Alligator mississippiensis: one gene and its partner. The protein of the gene in region 2 interacts with the protein of the main gene of each other region in a pairwise test. Links are inferred from orthologs where the notes say so. Each region holds a gene or a part of one and is shown on either strand. Other genes may lie near its edges.

Region 1 (9,815 bases), about 22 Mb from region 2:
TGCCACACAGGCTCTGTCTCCCCAAACGGAGGCAGAATCAGGCCACCCTGTGCCTGGCATCCTTAGAGCTGTACATGGTATTCACTGCTGATCCTACTCCAGGCACATCAGGGGTCCCCCTCAGGGCCCCCCACCTCAGCTCTGTGACCCCTGTAACCAAGACACCACACAAGCTCTGCCCTCTGAAAGGAAGCAAGATCAGGCAAGCCTGTGGAGCTGATTTTACTACAACTGCACAGGAGGTACTCAGCACCTCCTACCACGGCTCTGTACCCCCCGCCCCCACCAGGGATGCTACACAGGCTCTGCCCCCCCCCCCCCCGCCCCCACAGGGAGGAAGGATCAGGCCATCCCATGCACAGTGCGCTCAGACCTTTATGTGCAACTTGGGGCTGATCCCATTCCAGGCACATGGGGAAAGTGGGGGGGAAATCCCCTCAGTGCCCCCCACCCCGCTCTGTGACCCCACCAGGTAACCGTGATGTCATGCTGGCTCCGCCCAGTGAAAGGAAGCAGGATCAGGCCACTCTGCGCCCCGTGTGCTCAGAGCTGTACATGGAGCTGATGTCACCACAGCTGCACAGGGGGTCACTCTGCACCGCACCTCCTACCCTGGCTCTGTGCTCCCACTGGGCACCCATGATGCCACATACAAACGGAGCAGGATGGGGGGCACAAACGGAGGCAGGATGAGGCAGGCCTGTGCCTGGCACACACAGACCCATACAGGCAGCTCATTGCTTATCCCACTCCAGACACATGGGGGTCCCCTCAAGGCCCTGTAGACCCCCCCACCAGGTAACCACAGTCAAACAGACTCTGCCCACTGCCAGGAGACAGGATTAAGCGCCCTGTGTTCAGTGCACTCAGAGCTGTAGGTGCAACTCAGGGCTGATCCCAGTCCAGGTACATGGGGGGGGGCATCTCTCAGGGTCCCCCACCCCAGTTCTGTGACCATCCTGGGTACCCACACTGCCAAGTAGGCTCTGCCCACTAGAAGGAAGCAGGATCAGGCCACCCTGTGCCTGGTGTGCTTGGAGCTGTACATGGAGCTGATCTCACTGCAGCCACACAGGGGGATCACTCAGCATGTCCTAGCCTGGCTGTGCCCCCACTGGGCACCCACAATGTCACACAGGCTCTGCCCCTCCAGATGGAGGCAGGATCAGGTTGTCCTGTGCCCAGCACACTTGGAGCTGTACGTGCGACTCGGGGTTGACCCCACTCCAGGCACAGTGGGGCGTTTCTCAGTAACCCCCTCCCTGGCTTTATGCCCCAACCCAGGTACCCATGATGCCACACAGGCTCTATCCACCAGAATGCAGGTAGGATCTGGCCATTCTGTGCCAAGCACACTTGGAGCCCTATGTGACTCATTCCAGATACATTGGGGGTCCCAGCTCTGTGCCCCACCCATGTATCCACGATACCACACAGGCTCTGCCCAGTGGTAGGAGGCAGGCTCACGCCTGCCCATGCCTAGCACACTTGGAGCTGTACGTGGCTGTGATCACACTGCAGCCACAAGTGCCCAGGGGGTCCAGAAATGCCCCCAGACCGACCTCTGAGACCCCCCCCAGTAAGCATAAAGCCATGCAGGGTCTGCCCCCTGGAAGAAGGCTAGCTCCAGCCACCCCGAGCCCGGTGCTGTACATGTTGCTCGTTGCGCCACATCCCTGAAAGGCCAGAGGGGCCCGTTTCCCAGCGAGTTGCTGGCCCTTTAAGGACCCCATAAGCCCTTCGGTGGTGCTCACTGGGCTCTGGAGGGGGATGGGGCTCCGTGCCTCAGTTTCCCCACCACCCGCTGGATGCTCATTATGCTCTGGATGCTGGTTATACTCTGTGCCTCAGTTTCCACGCCACCCACTCATGCTCCATGCCTCAGTTTCCCTGCCTACCGCTGAATGCTTGTTAAGGACATCGTCCTGATGAGGCTGGACAGCAGCCAATGTACCCACCCCAAGGTGCCAGGTATTGTACATCTGAGCCAGCATGCCTGCCCCCATGCGGGACTGGGCCATGCCATGCCAAGTGCTGTATGTACAGCCCCCAGAGGCTTCTGGTCAGATGCCACCCAACCCCCACCTGGGAGGGATCTGCTCCCAGGGGCGTGAGTGCACCCTCGCCAGAGCCTCAGGTGCCCCGCATAACACAACCGGGAAAACTGAGGCATGGAGCTGAGCACAGAGGAAGGAGCAGGGTCCCAGCCTTCCTCACCCCCTTGGGTCAAGACCAGACCTCCCCCTTGGCTGCCCTCCCCAGCTGCCAGGAGCCCAAAATGGGTCACAAAGCAGCTGGCGAAGGTGCCCTGGAAAAATCGGGACAAGCTGACAGCTGCCTCTACCATATGGGGGTGGGGGGTGTGAGCCCAGTGCTCCCCCCCCCCCCCCCACAAAGCAGGTCCCCTCCCAAGCCCCCACAGCCAGAGCCAGAACATCCCCCCTAAACCCTGGATCCCCCCAAAAAGCAGAGGCTGGTGCCCAGCTCCCCTCCCGAAGAGGGGCCCAAGAGTCTGGACAAGCATGGGGAGGGAGAGGGCAGGGACTCAGACTTTCCGGGTAGTGAGAAATGTAGACAGGGCCGTAGGGAGGCACAGACCCAAGTGTTTGGGGGGGGGGGGGGGCCGGGAGGCAGATGAGAGGGAGCCAGCATTTTGGGGGGGGGGGGGGGAGAGAAGATGGATGATAGGGACCCAGGTGTCTGGGGCAGGGGGGGGAGAACAGGATCTCAAGCATGGTGGGGGGCAGATGAGAGGGACCCAGGCATGGACGGGGAATAGGAGCATGGACCCAGGTGCTGGGGGGGGAGGATAGAGGATAGAGACCCAGACATGGGGGGGGGGAGGAGCAGTAGTAGGGGAACATGAAAACAGGCATTTGGGAGGGGGGAGCCATGGACCCAGGTGTCTGAAGGACGCAGGCCTGCGGGGCAGTACAGAGAGAACATGTGTGGGGGGTGGGGAGGCATGGACATGACAGGGGCCCAGGGGTCTGGGAGGAGACAGATAACAAGATCTCAAGGGTGGGGGGACACACAACAGAGGATGGGACCCAGGCATCCGGGGCAGTGGGGGGGGCAGGTGACCGGGACAGGGACCCGGTGGGGGAAGGAACAAATGAAGGGACCCGAGTGTCCGGGGAGGGGGGTTACGTGGGACAGCCAAACCCCCAAAGGAGAGGAGATGAGAAAAGACACCCCCGCAGACACTTGGGGTCACATAAGGTCATATCACCAGGGGGGCGGGGAGAAGAGCTGCCCCACCCGGGCTGGTCCTGAGGGCTGGCAGGGCGGAGGGGCCGAGGAGCCGCGGGGCGGAGGGCGGGAGGCAGGCGCGCGTGTCCGGGGCAGGGGACCCAGGCTCTCAAGTACGGCGGGGCGGGGCGGGGCGGGCACGGGACCCAGGCGCCGGGGAGGGGCGGGCCGAGGCAGGACCCAGGCGTCCCGGCAAACTCGGAGGAGGGACCCAGGCGTCCGGGGCGGGCCGGGGGTGGGGGAGGGGCGGGGGACCCGGGAGTCCGGACTCCCAGGGGGGGGACGGGCCCCAGGCGGCTGAGAGGCGGGGCTCACCTGCGGCAGCGGCCGGGGGGGGGCGCGGGCCGGGCCCGGCGGCGGCTCCCGGGGATTTCCCAGTAATGCCACAAAAAATGGCGGCCACAACAAACCGCCGCCACCGCCGCCCGAATGCGCACGCGCGTGCACCGCCCCGGCTTCTCTGCGCACGCGCGGGCACTGCCACCGGCTCGTTGCGCATGCGCGCGTACCGCCCCGACCCTCCCCTTGCGCATGCGCAACGATCGGCTGGGCAGGGCGGACCACGTGACTCAGGCGGCGCATGCGCTACGCACAGTGGGGGAGGGACATGTCAGTCATAGGATGCGCATGCGCGGCGCCGAGCTGGATGGGGGAATATGACGAACAAGCTGCGCACGAGTTGTGCCCGGCTAAAGGGAGGGCGGTCACGCTCTGCTCATGCGCAGCTGCTGGCTAGGGAGGGGTGACACGTGATGCGGATGCTGTGCATGGGCCGGCTACTAGAGGCGCCCGCCACCCTCCCTCCTGCGCATGCATAGGCCACAAGACGCCCCATCGGACGGGGTACCGGTGCACACGCATCCTCTGCGCATGAGCTGAGACGGAGTCTCCTCTTAAAGCGTTCCTGCGCATCAGGGCCGGCAGTACGCTGGGATGACGTCACAAACGGGGTCCACCTGATGTCTTTCACGTGACCGCAGGAGGGAGGCTGGTCTACGCGCCCCTTTCCCTCCCAGCCAGGAAGAGCCCACCGCCCAAAGGGATGGGGCTTCAAATAGTCACTCCCCCTTGAGGATTTCCACCCCCCCAAGCCCCGCAGGTGTTCCCCCCCACGCCCCCCAAGCAGCCAGGCAGCCTCCCCCCGCCAAAAAACCCCCCCTCCCACTTCCCTCCTGGGGCCCCCCCTCCTCCAGCCCAAGGAAAGCAGGACCTTCCTAAATGTGCTCTCCCCTCCCAACCCCTGCTCCAGGAAAACCTACCACATCAAAAAACTACCCCCCCACAACATTCACCATCCCCTCCAGGGCCCCAACAGCCCCCCCAGCACCTCTGAGAAATCAGACCTCCCCCTCAACCAATGACCCCCCCCACCAGAGATAACTAAGACCCCCAGCACAGACCCTCCCCTGCACTGTCTCCCCCCCACCCCACAAAAAACAGGTCCCCAACCTAACCCCCCCTCAAATATCAAGGGCAACAAGGGGGAGCAGGGACCCAGATATCCCAGGCAGGGGGAACAGGCACCCAGGGCGGGGGAGGACGACAACACCGACCCAGGGACAGGGACCCAGGTGTACAGGGAAGTAGGCAGGGGGGGCATCCAAGACCCAATATCCCTTCCTTCCCCCAAAGAGCTGCCCTCCCCCCAGTCCCTCAACCCTTGAAAAGGGAAAGTCACCCTGTTCTCTCCTCCTGAAACCAGACAGATGGGGGGGTGGAGGACCCCTATATCACCCCCCCCCCCAAAACAACCCCTGCCCCTAGCAGAGGGCAGGAGGCTGCAACCAGAGGCCCCCTGCCAGCTGCACCGATTTCTGCTGCTGATTTCCCATATTTTAATAAAAATACATCTGGAAATGTCAAAAAAAAATAAAAATTGGGGAAGGGGGGACCCAAACCACCCTGGGGCTGGGCCCCCCCCGAACTCCTGGGTTCCTTGGATAGCGCCTCGGTGGCGGGGCAGCGAGGAGGGTGGGGTCCATGGAGGTGCTACTTCTTCGCCTTGGGGGGAGGCCTGGAAGGGAGGGAGATGGGGGCAGGTGAGACCCCTGAGATGGGGGATTCTTCCCAGGCAATCCCCCCTCTACCGCTGCACACAGGGGATCCCCACCTGAGACCTCCCCCACAGATTCCCTTCCCCTGGCACTGGGAAGTTCCTCCACTTCAGACCCCAGTTCTCCACCCCCGTCCCTGGAATGTGGGCCAGGACCCAGTGACCCCCCCGCCCCCCCCCAGCCCCTTTGCCATACCGGTAGATGCCCACCACCACAGCGTGGTCACGCTCGTAGGGCTCCAGTGTGAGCTGCTCTTGTGGTTTCATGTTCTCCTGCTGCATCTTCTTCACCTCGGCTGCAAACACGGCCTCGGGCGCCGCCGTTGAGTCAATGCAGTTGGCCTGTGACACCCCCAAGGTCAGAGTCAGCCCCCTGGCCCTGCCGGGCCAAAGCCCACTGCCCAACCACACGCACCAAGCTCTGGTGCGTCCCCCTCCTGAGTCTCCCCAACCCCTACCCTCTAGGCCAAAAGGCTTCCCCATTTCTCCACAGTGGGAGAAAGAACCGAGTCACCCTGGTGCCTAGCTGGGTCTTAATGGCAGCAGAAGCCAACCCAGGAGTCTGATTCCCATGGAGGGGAAATGAGTGGGCTGCAGGTGGGGGGTGGGTCTGTGTCTGGGGGAGAAGGCATGCTCATTACCTTGATGGAGATAACAAAGTGGCCGCCGTTCTTCAGGAAGTTGTGCGCGTTGAGGGCGACAATACGGGACTGGTCAGGCTGCGCCACATCGGCAAAGATCACATCCACCATGCCTGGAGGGGGGGCATGGTTGTGAGTCATGACCCAGAGATCAGGGGACGCTGTGATCCCCCAGCAAATCAACTACACCCCCCCCCAACTCCACCTGTCTTGTGATATCAGCACTGGGAAAGGAAACCCAGTTGTCAGGGGAGAGGCAGGTCCCTGAACAGCACGGGTAGGAAGACCCTGTGCACAGACGAGCCTCAGTAACAGCAGGAAAAACCCAGGAATTTGGAGCCCCCAGAGGAGCCCTGACAGGCCGACCCCAAGCCTGGCCAGGCCTCAACAGCGACTGCAGAGAATCCAGGCATCCAGGGGGGTCTTAGGAGCCCCGACTGGCAGATGCCATGCCCGACTGAACTTTAGCAGCAGGAGAGAATCCAGGAGTCTGGGGGCTCCCAGGGAGCCCCAATACAAAGACCCCGTGCCTGGTCAGGCTTCAGCAGTGGCTGCAGAGAACGCAAGTGTCCAGGGGGAGGTGGGGGAAGGGGGTCTCAAGGATCCCCAGTACAAAGACCCGAAGACCAGCTAGACTTTCACTACAGCAACAGAGGACTCTGGAGTCTGGGGGCTCCCAGGACACCCCTCTGCCCCGGGGAAAGCCAATGGCAGGGCCCCCCTGAGTGCAGCCGGACCCCAGGGGAGAACGACTGGCAGGGGGAGGTAGGAGGAGTCAAGGGGGGGAGGGGACCTAGGGGGGACTCACCAATCAGCATGCGGTATTTGTGGGGGTGCCGGGCATCCTCTATGACGGGGATGATGTTGGTGCGTTTCTTGGCCACGTTGATGAGGTCACGGCCGGAGCGGTGGGAGAACTCCACAGCGTAGACCAGGCCTTCCTGGGGGGGCGCATGGGGTTAAGCTGGAGGGGGGGGTAATCCCTTTTGCCCCCTCGCCTCCCCCCCCCCCCCCATCCAGGGTAGGGGGTCCCAGTACTTACGGGGCCCACAATGTCCGAGACATGGGAGACGGTGGTGCCTGAGGCAGCGCCCAGGTACAGCACACGGACGCCCGGCTTGATGTGGATCTGGTCGATGCCCCCCAGGATGGCGGCTGCCAGCTTGGAGCGGAAGGGGTTCCAGGCCCGGTACTCCACCTTGGCCTCGCCATCCTGCCCAGCGGTGGGAGAGGGAACAAATCAGGGCTGGGGGGGAGGGAGTCTGCTCAAACCTTTCCCCAACCCCTGGGGCCTTCTGAGGGCCCTTTCACCCCAGCTTGGACTCCTGGGTACCAAGATGCCTCCTGGATCGGCCCCTGGAAGTGGTGTGCCCAGTGCCCTCTGGGACCCAGTAGCCTAGCCTTTCTGCCCCCCACATAACCACTGGGGGCCCCCCTCCCAGAACCAGCCCCCTCGACACCACCATTCAAACCTCCCCCTACCCCAATGCCCCCATCCTGATCCCCATCCCCACCACATCCCTCTTGACACTCCCATCCAGACACCTCCACCCGCCTTTGATCCCCTTCCCCCCCAGGCTCTGCGTACCTCCACCGCAATCCTCTTCTCCCCATACACTGACTCGCCCGGCACCAGGTTCTTGGTCACGAGTGCATCTTCCTTGCCCCGGCAAATGAAGACCCCTAGAAGGGATTACGAATGGGGAGGGGGTCAGAGCCAGAATAGCACCCCCCCATGGTCCCACCCACCCCAGGCTCCAACCCAAGCCCCGCCAAGGTGTCCCTACCCCCCAGCGCCAGCCCCTGCCCCAGACTCCAGTACCTTCGTGCCTGTGGGGCTCCACTGTCACCTTCTTGCCCCCTCTGAAGCCCCCCCGGCCCCCACCCCGCCCCCCACCACGGCCGCCCCGGCCAGGCCCTCCTCTTCCTCGGCCGCCAACACCTCCTCGGCCAAAACTGCCACCTGGGAAAGAAAAGGGGGAGAAGGATGTGGTCCAGTGTGGGCAGGACCCTGCAGCAAGTAGGGGAGTGTGGACGGGGGAGTCTTTTGCGATAGTAAGGATAGTAAATGGGGTCCCAGCCTTTTGGGACAGGAAGTGGAGGGGCAGGGGGAGCCGTTTGGGACAGGAAGTGTGGGGTGGGGCCTGGCTAAGATGAAAACGAGAGGGGGCAGCAGAGTCCCACAGCAGGGCAACCCCTGAGCCTGGCCCTCTGCCCCAAAGCTTGATGGGACAGCTGACCAGATTCTCCCAGCACGAACCAGGAGTGGATGGGGGAGAATGTAACTCACCTCTGCCTCCCCGGAAGCCACCGCGTCCCCCTCCACGGTCCCCGAACCCGCCGCGTCCCCCTCCACGGTCCCCGAACCCGCCGCGTCCCCCTCCACGGTCCCCGAACCCGCCGCGTCCCCCACGGGGGCTGAAACCTGTGGGTGGAAAGGAGGGGGGGAGGTCAGACATGCCCCCCTCCCCCCCACCAAGTCCATCCCTCACGCAAGCCCCCCTCCCCAATGCTCCCCCCTCAACTCCTAGGTCCCCCCAATGTCACCTGCCCCACATGCCCCCAGCCCCTTTGACTTCCCAGACATATAAGGACCCCCCCAGTACCCCACCACCTCCAAGCCCCATCAACTATCCTTACTGGGGGGGAGGGGCTCAGCTGGGGGGTGTTATCCCCCCACACACCCTCAGTCTGCTGCCCACCCCAACCTGATCCAAGCCCCCCCCCCGGAACCCCGGAGTCCTGCCCCCAGTGAATAGGGGGCTCCGAGCTTGGGGGGGCTGCCCAGCTACAGTCCCCCCCCGCAAGGCTGAGAAGGCAGGCGTCCCGGGATCGCGTGGGGGGGCTCCCCCCCCGGCAGCAGCTGCAAGGACCCGCCCCCCCCGCCCCGCGCTCACCGGGCCTCATGCTCCCACGTGCGCTCCCCGGGGCCGGACCACGCTGGATTCGGTGCTGGCTGGCGCGGGGCGCGATGCGCATGCGCGGGCGCCCGGAGCGCCCACACCGGAAGTTGGCTTCGCGGCCCGCGGTGACGTCAGCGGAAAGACCAGAGGACGTGCTTGCGGGGCGGGGGAGGGGGGGCGATTTTTGTGGCGTCACATTTGTCTCTCTCTCTCCCTGTGACGTCAAGTAATTTGTCTTTGGACCGCTCTGGGGTGTGACGTGGTGCTAGACTGTGAGGTTAGCCTTCCCCGTGACGTCACAGGATGAAAGTTTTTCTCAACTTTAGATCTGTGCTGTCTGATGTCAGCTCTCTGGGGGAGGTCAGGTGTCTCCTGTGATGTCACAGGGTGAAAGGTGGCTGAGGGAAGGCAGTGTCATGCAAGGACGTCAGATCCGTGAGGTCAGCTCTCTGGGATGTCACATGATAGCTGATGTTTCTTGTGATGTCAGCTCTCTCTGTGATGTCATAGGACAAAAGTTCTGTCAGAAGAGGCAGCTTTCTCTGCAGTGTCCTGTGACATCACTTCTCTGGTGTCAGCTCTCTGGGATGTCCCACGATGTCAGGTGTCTCTTGTGATGTCACCTCTCCTTGTGATGTCATAGGATGAAAGAAAGGTCTCTTGGGGAAGGCCATTTTCTCCGCGGTGTCAGGTGGCGTCAGATCTGTTATGTCCTATGCCATCAGCTGTTGGGTATCACGTGACATCAAATATTTCTTGGGATATCAGCTCTCTCTGCGTTGCCATATGACATCAGTTCTGGGATGTCACACGGCATCGGGTCTCTGCTATGTCCCATGTACTCAGCTCTCAGCCCAATGTCAGATTCCCATATCAGCTGTGACATTGTGCCGTTCGCATGTGATGTCAGCCCTCTCTGTGACATCACATGGTGTCGGGTCTGTCCACTCTGCTTTCTGCTCCCCA
Region 2 (9,889 bases):
GTGTAGAAGGCGCACTCATCGTCCAGGCAGGCGTCCAGGAAGCGCTGGGGCGCACGGAGCAGGGAGTCCAGCCGCTGCTTCGCCAGGGCCAGGCGGGAGGGGCGCACGGCCAGCATTGTCCTTGCGGCTGCAGGCAGCGGGCATGGTCAGCAGCCAGACCCGGCCCCCCATTCCTACCTGCCACGGGGGGCACAAAGCAGTGCCCCTGCCCCCCTGAGCCAGGCAATCCCCAACCCTTGGCATCTCCAAGAGGGAAGAGCCTGGGTGGGCAGGCGCAGCACCATACCTGGGGGGCCGGGGGCCCGCAGGGAGTGGATGGGGGGGCTGGCGCAGAGCGGGCGTAATGAGGAGAAGGTCAAGGTGGTTCCTGCCCCTTGGAAGCCCCCAGTGCCACCCTGCGGTACTGCCCTGGAAGTGGGATCTAGACGATGGTCACCCAGCACCAGGCCAGGCACAGGGGCAGAGCAGGGGGGCACGGGCAGGCAGGAGGGGGGATAGGCAGCCAGCAGGGCATGGAGCTCGTCCAGTGGGGTGGCGTCATCCACCCCCTCCACTGCTTTCTGCAGGAACCGCTGGATATGCTGCAAGAGGGTGGGAACGGGAGTCAGACATGGGGGTGGGGGGCAAGGTCACCCCACCCCAGCATAGACCTTTTCCTCCAGCTCCCCATACACCCACCCCAGCCAGCCACCCCCCAGCTGCTACAAGGGGGCAGCCCTCCCCCACTGTCCCCTGTGCTGACGCACAGAACTGGTTTGCCCTGGGAGGGTGTACCTGCTCCTTGCTGATGCTGTGGGGGGTGCCCACCTGGGCTGGTGCTCGGCTGTGGGAGCCGCCCAGGTCGCCCTGGCCGTCTTCGTCCTCGTCCTCGAAGAGCCGCCGCACAGCAACCTTCTCCTGCAGGGAGGCGCTGTCAGGGTGTGGGGCCAGTAGCCACCACCTGCCCCCATCTGGGAAGCAGGGGACCTAGGGGGTGCCCCAGGATGCTGCAGGTGACACCTCCCAGCCCTGGTCAGGCCCACCCCGACCCCCACCAGGCACTCACCCAGGGCTGGGCTGTCTCACGGGGGTCGCTGCCTCCCACGTCAGGGCTGCAGGGCTGCCCAGCTCCACACCTGCCTGGGGTCTGTGGAGGGGGTCCCGTCAGCTGAAACCCCTAGTCCTGCTCCATCTCCCACCCCCCCCACAGCTGAGCCTGGGAGAGCTCAGACCATGCCCCCAGAGCAGAAGCAGCATCAGACAGAGGGTCAAAGCCCCCCACCCACAAAATGGGGACAGGGCACCCCCATCCTCAGAACCCTCCAGTCAGGAGCCCCCCCCAGATGTGCACCCACCTGTTCCACGTGTAGCTGGTGCCTGTCCCCCATCTCCCTGGCACAGGCGGGGTTGGGCTGGGGAGAGAGCATGGTGAGACGTGGGGAGCATGGAGCCTCTGGCCCCTGCTTGGCCTGTGGAGAGGACCCAGGCATCTGTGGGGTCTTCCCCCATCCCATTTTGAGAAGGCCCCGGGGGCATCCTTCCCACCCAGGGCAGCAAGCAAGAAGCCATGCAGACCCTCCCCTCCCCGGTCCACCCACCCAGCCCGAGCTCCTGCTCCCACCCAGCTGGACGCACCGGGGACTGGGGCTGCGTCACTGGCGTGTGGCTGAACGGGGAGGAGTGGACGTCGGATGTGTGGGGTACCCGGGGGAGACCTGAGGGAGAAGAAGCGTAAGAGCAGGACGCCATGGGGGCGAGAGGCATTGAGCCCACACCCAGCCTAGGCCCCGCCATCTCTACCTTCCTGGCCCATGGTGGAGAGGCAGGACAACCGAGCAGAGTGACCCCTTGTGGGGATGCCCTCGTGGGTGCCAAGCAGAGAGGCCGTGCTGCCCTGGGGGGGGAAGAAGGCAGCATCAGCTCCTGGCCTTGAGAAGGGGTGGGAGCTGGCACTGCCTCCCGGCCTTGCAGCTGTGCGGGGGGCCTGGACAGCCCCCTCCCCCAGAACAGCAAGCAAACAGCCATGCAGACACCCCCCCCACCCTGATCCTCCTAACACACAAGCCCCTGCCGCCACCTGCCATGCGCACCGTGGGCAGGGGCGTCATCGCGGGCACTTGGCCAGACGGAGAGGCATGGGTGCCAGGTGCGTCTGCACACACTGTGGACTGGAGTTTCCTCGCCAGCACCCGGCCGAAGGGAGAGGGGTGAGCGCCAGGTGTTGCCTTCTTCACCGGCACCCGGCCAAAGGGGGAGGGGGCTGCCCATGCCTCCAGACCTGGGGGAGAAGGAGCGTGAGGGCAGGTGTCCAGGTGCTGAGCCCACCCGGCCCCGGGCAGGGTCCTGCCAGCCCTACCTTCCTGTCCTGTGGCAGAGAGGCAGGACCCACGAGCAGAGTCACGCCGTGGGGGGACGCTCCCACGGGTGCTCAGCGACAAGGCCCTGCTGCCCTGGGGGGAGAAGAGATGTCAGCCCCGTCTGCAAGAAGGGACCTCCCACCCCCTTGAGGATGCAGTTGCCTGCAGCCACCGCCTACGCTGGGGGCCCAGCCCAGCCGCCCACCAGAATCCCCCGGGCCGATGCCTCTGCCCCTCCAAGCAGCAAACTGGGTTGGGGGACGACCCCAGTAGCCTGCGTGTGCCGGGGAGTGGAGCAGGAGGCTGCACGGAGGAGGCCTGTCCCTCCTGTCCCATCCCCTCTCCACCCCGAGGACCCAAGGACCTTGCATCTCAGCCCAGAGCAGGAAGGGCGTGCAGGCCTGTTTGCACACACACGGACAGGCCTTCAGGAAGGGGAAACCGAGGCAGGACAGAGAAACCAGGAACAGAATCTCATTTCCAGCTTCTAAAGGCACCCCCCACCCGCTCAAACCACTAGACCACACTGTCCTCCCCCAGCCTCTAGGATCCCAGGCACCTCCCTACAGCCACCAAGCTTCACCCCAGACGCCATGACCCCGTGCCCGCGGGGCAGCATGGGCTCAGGGGACTCTGGCAGGGACTTACCTTTGTGTTGCCCTGGGCCAGGAGGGAGTTGCTCCTGCTGCCTCTCAGGGGGATGCGACGTGCCAGGCTGGGCTTCCCGCCCGGGCCCAGGACAGGGCTGCACAGCCTCACGTTGGAGAGGATGCCGGCCAGCGCCGCCGGGTCAGCCACGAACTCCACCGCACTGGCATCTGCCGGAGGGAGCACAAGGGAGGGCTCAGGCCCACCGCCCCTGCCAGGCCTGGAGCTGGCATTGCTGGCACGCAGCGGGGAAGCAAGAGCAACGACCCTACGTGTGGGTCCTGGGGTGGCTCCGGGCAGGCGCAGCTCCATGCACGGAGCAGGGGACTGGGGGCAGCCCCAGAAACACGACATCAACCCCCCCGCCCGACCTGCCCACACTGGGGCCGACGGCCCCACACCCTGCTTAGCCTGGGTGGCGGCACCCGGGGTGCCAGGGTAGCATCCTGCCCCGATACCTTTGCTGGCGGCGCTGCTCTCGGGCACCTTCTTCTGCCCCCCCGCCCCCAGCTGGATCTCCTCCAGGGGGGCCCGGGGCCGGCTCCTCCACCAGCCCGCGGGGCCGGGGCTGGGCTGCGTCCTCGGGGCCTTGCCCTGCGGGGCAGACACGGTCACGCGGGGACAGGCGCTGCCCCGCGTCTCGGCTCCCGGGCCGGGGGGCTGCTCCCGGGCACTCACCTGGCCGCCGGGCCCGGGGCTGGCGCTGGGGCCCGGGCCGTTCTCGCGGCCCCGCGGGGAGCGGGGGTCTCTCCGCGCCGCCAGGGCTCCGGGACTCGCGGCTGCAGGGACAGACCCGGTGAGCCCCACTGCGCGGTCGCGAGCACCCGCGGGAGGAAGCGGAGGCGGCTGCAGCTCCGGGTCCCGGCCGGCTCCACGCGCGACCGGGACCCACGCACGCACCGGGGACACCCCCGCCACATGGAGGCCCCGCCCCTGGAGAACCCCTCCCACGGGCGACGCACCTGCCCGCGTGAATTCCGCCCCAGCCGCGCGCCCGCTGATTGGGCAGCGCCCGCCGGTTCATAAAACAGCAACCGGCTCTCATTGGCCCGCGCGGGGGCGGGGACGGGCGCAGAGCGAGCCAATAGGGAGCGAAGAACGGGGCGAAGGGGGGGGATTCGTGGGTTTCCCTCCGGGGGAGGGGTGATCTCGCGAGATTTCACTTAGCGCATGGAGGGCGGGAACACCTGGCGTGTCAGTGACGTCATTGCGATCTAGCCCCGACCCCGGGGGGAGAAGGAAGAGACTGGGGGCGCGCTCCTTGGGTCCGAGTCGTTCCGTGCCTCAGTTTACCCAGCTATAAAATGGGTCCCTTTCTTCCAGGGCAGGGACAGAGGCAGAAATCCAACGGGCCGGGGGAGCGGGGTGGGCCTCAGTTTACCCGGCTATAAAATAAGTTCTCTTCCTTCGGGGGAACAAGAGAGGCAGAAATCCAATGGGCGGGGGGGGCTCAGTTTACTCGGCTATAAAGTAGGTCCGCTCCTTCCAGGGGAAAGAGACAGGCAGAAATCCAGCGGTGGAGGGAAGGAGGGGGCTCATGGGGACAGCTAACTAATTCTGGCAAAGGCGGGGTTGAACCGGCAGACCCCCCAGCCCGACACAACGGCAGGCACTGGGCTGCCCCCTACCGCCCTCGCGGGTGGGATCCCGTCTCCCCCCCGCCCCGTTCCAGGAGCTGTACAAGCCCCATCCTGCCCAGCCCAGGTCACCTCCCCCAGACAGAAACAAAGACCCCAGGCCTGCCCAGACCCCCCAGGGCTGGGTGAGACCCCCCGGAGTCCTCAGCACCCCCCCCCCCCCGCTGCCAGGGCACCCTCCAGTCACATGGCCCAGTCTGTTGCACTTGGCCCCACTGGCCCAGAGCACAGAGGGGAGGGCGGTCATTAAGTAAACCGTAATTAAACTATAATTAAACTGTAAGTTGGAATGGCAGGTTGCTTCCACGCCCCGGCTCACAGGATGCCACAACCACCATGGGCTGCAGCCCCAGTGTCCCCAGGACTGTGGTAACACTGGAGTCACCGCCTTGCCTCCCCCCCAGCCCCGGTGCCACAAGGGGGACACAGCAGAGCAGAGCTCCTCACTAGGCTCTTTATTGGCTGGACAAGCGGATACACAGCGGGGGTCCGTCGCTGTTCAGGCAGGTCGGGGAAGACCCAGGAGCACCACAGCAACTCCTGCAGCAGGTGTGGGGGGGGTCCCCCAGGGCTGGAGGGGAAGGGGTGCAGCTGGCCGAGTGGCCCCAGTCACATCCCCCTGGTTTGGTCCAGAGCAGACCGAGGCAGAGGGAGGGGATGCTGAGGCAGAGGCACCGAGTGTAACAGAGGGGGAGCAGAGCACAGAACAGGGGGAGCTGCAGAGAAAAGAGCCAGGGTCAGGGAATGGCCCAGACTCGTGCCAGATGGATGCCACCACCCCGAGCCCTCTGGCCTAGGTGAACCCTGGGCCTGGGGCACAGCTTTGCAGCTGGGCCTGGCTGCAGGAGGCAGAGATGGGTGCTGGGGCAAGTCCATGCTGGAAGCAGGGAGACGGGCCATAGTATAAAAATGGGGCAGCTTTGGTATCAGCCCTTCGGGCCGGGTGGGACCCTGGCTCTGGGCAGGAAGCACTCGCTATAGGCACCACACTTGAACAGCAGCAGCGCCGGCACCCGCCTCCGTGGGGGGCCCAGGCAGCGCCAGGCCCAGGACACAGCCCTGCAGGCGCCAGCTGGTCCTGGATCCTGGTGTCAGCCTCCACCAGTGCCAGGCTCTGCCCCCCTCCCCGTGCCAGTGGTGTTGGTGAGGCAGGTCCTGATGCTTCAGAAGAAGGTGGAGGCCCCCTGGAGGAGGCAGGGGAAGGGGAAGCTGGGTGGGGGCAGGGCAGGGCAGGACTCCTAGGTCCCTCCCTGCCAGCAGCCCCTACCCAGGGGGGTTATTGCTCTGCTCTCCCGTCCCCGAGCACCATGGGCCGGTGGAAGTTGGGTGTGCGGGGGTGCCGGGGCTCAGAGGTATCAGTAGTCGTGTAAGGCCGGTGCGGCGTGGGGGAGTGGGGGGCGGGCTGCAGTGGGGGGCTGCGCGGAGCCTGGTGCTGGGGTCACTTCTCTGACTCCGCTCTCTGCTCCTTCTGCGACTCCGTCACCACCTGCCAAGGAGCAAGGGGTCAGACCCGGTGTCCCTCTGTGCCAGGCTGGGGCCTGCCCATGTGGCAGCTTGAGGGGGAAGCAACGCCCCCAGGAGAGCTGGGATGGAGCCCAGGCATCCAGCGGACCCTGCTCTAGCCATTAGGTCATGCGTCCCCAGGCCTGAGTGAAACCCAGGAGTCCTGGCTCCTGCCAGGGCCAGGAGAGAACGCAGGTGTCCCTTCTCCCACCCTGTACCTGCCCCCAAGTCCAGCCAATGTTGGGCTGGGCCCAGTCCCAGGTGGAGGCTGCGCTGGGCAGTGGGGGGGCATTCACCTCTCCATCCCGGGTCTCAATCGTTTTGATCAGAACCATTTTTCTGGTGTGTGTCTCCACCACTGGCACCGGCTCTGGCTCTGGCACTGGTGGGCAGAGGGGACCATCAGGGAGGTCTCCAAGTCCTTCCTCTCCCTTTGCCCTCCAGGCCTCAGGCATGCAAGGTCCTGGGTGCACAGGGGGCAGAGATGCCCGGGGACAAGGCACACAAGACTGTGCCCTCCCCCCGTCCCTCCCACAGCACTGAGGGCATGGACTCACCTGAGCTTTTCATGGTGAAGGAGGGCATCAGCTGCATGGGCACAGTGATCCTGGGGGACAGACAGGGTGGTGAGCATGTGCCCGGGCCTTGCCCCACTGCCCACCCTGGTGCAGCGCCTACCTGCTCTCCTCGCCCTCCAGCAGCTTGCGGTAGGTGGCGATCTCGATGTCCAGCGCCATCTTGACGTTGAGCAGGTCCTGGTACTCACGCAGGTGCCGCGCCATCTCCTCCTTCATGTGCTGGATCTCCTGCTCCAGCCTCCTCACCGTGTCCTGGTAGCTGCTGATCTCCGCCCCACACTGCTCCTCAAGCTCCCGCATCTGCCGCAGCAGCGCTTCGTTCTGGGGGGTGCAAGAGGTGGGGGGAGGTGAGCTCACAGTCCCCGAGGCCCAGGATGACTGGCTTCAGACTGAGCCCCCCCCCCCGGCATGCTGCACAAGGCAGGTGGCAGGGGGTGCTGTCCTAGCGCCCGGGCACCCTGCTGTGGGGTGCAATGCACCCCAGGGACTCACGGTTCCTTTGAGGCCGTCCACCTCGCAGGTCAGGCTCTGGATCTGCCTCCGGGACTCGTTCATCTCCTGCTTGGCCATGCGCAGTGCCTCGTGGTTCCGGTTGGCTGCGTCTGACAGGTCAGCGAACTGAGGGGTGGGGATGGCACCATCAGGGCAGGGGTCAGGAGCTGTGTCAGGGCCTTGTACCCGCTACCCTAGCACAGGCCTCGGCCTGGGGCAGCTTCCAGGGTGCTGACCTTGGACTTGTACCACTCCTCGGCCTCCTGCAGGTTCTTCACTGCGATGCTCTCGTACTGGGTGCGGATCTCCCGCAGTGCAGCCGTCAGGTCCGGCTTGACCTGCTCCATCTCCACTTGCACTTGCTGGCTCTGGGCACTCTCCTGCATGTCACGCAGCTCCTGCCCGTGCCCACCACAAGCGCCAGGACAGAGCAGAGCATCAGGCAGACCCCCGGGAACGCTGCACCACCGGCCCCCTCCCCTAAAGAGGCTGCTCAGCCTGCCTCCCCCACCCTCTTGCGGCCCGCGGGCACCTGCAGTTCTGTGCATTAGCACCAGGTGGCGCAAAGGCATCTCGGCTGCAAAGTGTGCAGGGGGGATTCCCTGCAGACCACCCGGGCCAGGTCACAGCTTGCTCAACTCCTGGGGTCCCCAGCGTGCCCCCCCCAAGTCAGCACCCCCTAGACTTGCCCCTCCATCTCCAGAGTCAGTGCCCCATAGACCTGCCACCCTCCTCCCGATTCCCAGGTCCGCACTCCCAGGGCTACCCCGCCCTCCAGGCCAGCACCCCTGCCTGCCTCCCCCATTCCCAGAGTCAGCACCTCCCTGGCCTGTCCTCCCCATCCCCAGATCAGCACCCCCCCCCCATCCTCAGGTCAGCACACCTCACCTGCCCCCCCATCCCCAGATCCGCACCCCCGGGCCTGCCCCCATCCTTAAGTCCTCACCCCCCACCTGCCCCCCCATCCCCAGGTCCGCACCCCCCACCTCCTCATGCAGCTTCTTCAGGAACTCGATCTCATCCATCAGTGACTCGATCCTGCGCTCCAGCTCCAGGCGCGACAGCGTGGCGTCATCCACGTCCTGCGTGGAGGGGGGGGGGGTTTCAGAGCAGCCCGGGCTGCAGATCACCTTCCCCCCCCAGCTCCATTGGGCTGCTCCGGGGCAGCAGGACACGAGTGTGCTCACGCGTGTCCTTGCGCCCTCAGCTGGGCGGGGGGGGGGGGGGGGGTCTGGGGCGTGTGTGGCCGGCGGGGACGAGCCGGGACTCGGCGGAGCCGCTGGGCCAGATATGTGCACACGCGTGTCCGAGATCGCGCGTGGGACCTGGCTTCCCCCGCCCCACCCCATGGACCCCCTCTTAGCCCTGCACCTTCCGGAACAGCACCAGGTTGTTCTCCGCCTCCTCCCGCTTGTGGGTCTCGTTCTCCAGCCTGCGAGGAGGGGAGCGGAGGGGTCAGACCGGAGATGCGGGCAGCCCCTGCCCTGGGGACCCCCCGGGCCTCGCCCGTTCCCTCCCCGCCTCCCACGTGCCCCATTGCCCGCCCCCCCCTCCCTCCGGGCTCAGTGGGGCAGAAAGGCGGGGCAGCAGGGGAAAGCACCCCCACCCCCTTTGGATACAGGGGGGCCTCAAAGGTGCCCAAGGCAGGAGGAATCGGGCGGCCCCGCCCGGCAGCCCCCGGGCATGGAGGGGAGGGGGGACACACAAGCCCCGGCTCCTGCCACACGCCCCTCCCTGCCCCCCACCGCTGCAGTGACCCGCCCCTGCGGCTGCGGGATGGAGATGCAGCCCCCACCCAGCCGGCTCTGCCCGGGCCTCAGGTCCCGGGGGGACGGGTCCCAGCCTGATGCCCCAGGCCCCTAAAGGCAGGGTCCAGCCCCGGCCCCACCCTGTGCCCATCCCCGGGCTTCTGGGCTCCGCTGAGCCCCCCTGCCCCGCACCAGCCCAGCAGGACGGGAGGGGAGGGGGGAGGCTGCGTCTCTTCCCTGCGGGGATGAGGCTGCATGGAGCCCAGAGAGGCCGCTGCAGCGTCTGCGCCGCCCGCCTCGCCCCTGCCGCAGCCCCCGCTCCTCCCCGCGCCCTGCCGCACCCGGCAGCCTGCCCGGCCCGGCCCGGCCCGGCCCGGCCCGGCCCCGGAGCCCCCAACACCCCGCAGCTCTGCTGGAGCCTCCACCCCGGCCCCGCAGACCCGCAGGTCTGCTTAAGCACGCAGCCCCCAGCATCCCCGCAGCGCCCCGCACCCCTGCTTGAGCCCCCAGGCCCGCAGCCCTCAGCATCCCCGCAGCGCTGCTTGAGCCGCAACCCCCAGCAACCCCGCAGTGTCCCGCAGCTCTGCTTGAGCCGCAGCCCCCAGCATCCCCGCAGTGTCCCGCAGCTCTGCTTGAGCCCCCAGCCCCGCAGCCCCCAGAATCTGCGCAGCTCTGCTTGAGCCCCCAACCCCGGCCCCGCAGCCCTCAGCATCTCCGCAGCGCCCCGCACCTCTGCTTGAACCCGCAGCCCCGGCCGCACATCATCCTCCCCGGCTCCCCCGGGCCCCGGCATCCCCGCAGCGCCCCGCACCACTCTGCTGGAGCCCCCAGCCCCCTCGCACCGCTGCTTGAGCGCGCCCAGGTCCTCGGCCAGGTTGTCGCGCTCCAGCTGCAGGCGGTCGCGGTCCTGGCCCAGCAGGTCGAGCTGGCGCCGCAGCTCCCGCAGC

Evidence for each region.
Region 1: the proteins of TROAP (region 2) and DYRK1B interact in binary tests that used the Homo sapiens proteins (3 or more experiments, as listed by UniProt). The link is inferred for Alligator mississippiensis from reciprocal best matches to the Homo sapiens genes TROAP and DYRK1B.

What each region holds. Positions count from the first base shown.
Region 1 is NC_081838.1:29,158,565-29,168,379, forward strand, and holds the start of DYRK1B (dual specificity tyrosine-phosphorylation-regulated kinase 1B), read right to left. Parts: upstream 4,283-9,815; 5' UTR 3,752-4,282; coding exon 3,568-3,751; intron 1-3,567. Other genes in the region: FBL (rRNA 2'-O-methyltransferase fibrillarin), read right to left, coding at 5,242-5,266, 5,502-5,647, 5,947-6,059, 6,755-6,887, 6,989-7,159, 7,535-7,629, 7,769-7,909, 8,237-8,371 and 1 more.
Region 2 is NC_081838.1:6,716,320-6,726,208, reverse strand, and holds the start of TROAP (tastin), read right to left. Parts: upstream 4,193-9,889; coding exon 4,188-4,192; intron 3,982-4,187; coding exon 3,663-3,981; intron 3,579-3,662; coding exon 3,443-3,578; intron 3,155-3,442; coding exon 2,985-3,154; intron 2,430-2,984; coding exon 2,336-2,429; intron 2,258-2,335; coding exon 2,070-2,257; intron 1,874-2,069; coding exon 1,780-1,873; intron 1,695-1,779; coding exon 1,615-1,694; intron 1,392-1,614; coding exon 1,335-1,391; intron 1,127-1,334; coding exon 1,046-1,126; intron 898-1,045; coding exon 775-897; intron 582-774; coding exon 287-581; intron 128-286; coding exon 1-127. Other genes in the region: PRPH (peripherin), read right to left, coding at 5,977-6,107, 6,682-6,731, 6,803-7,023, 7,195-7,320, 7,431-7,592, 8,181-8,276, 8,566-8,626, 9,785-9,889. UniProt on the Homo sapiens protein: Could be involved with bystin and trophinin in a cell adhesion molecule complex that mediates an initial attachment of the blastocyst to uterine epithelial cells at the time of the embryo implantation.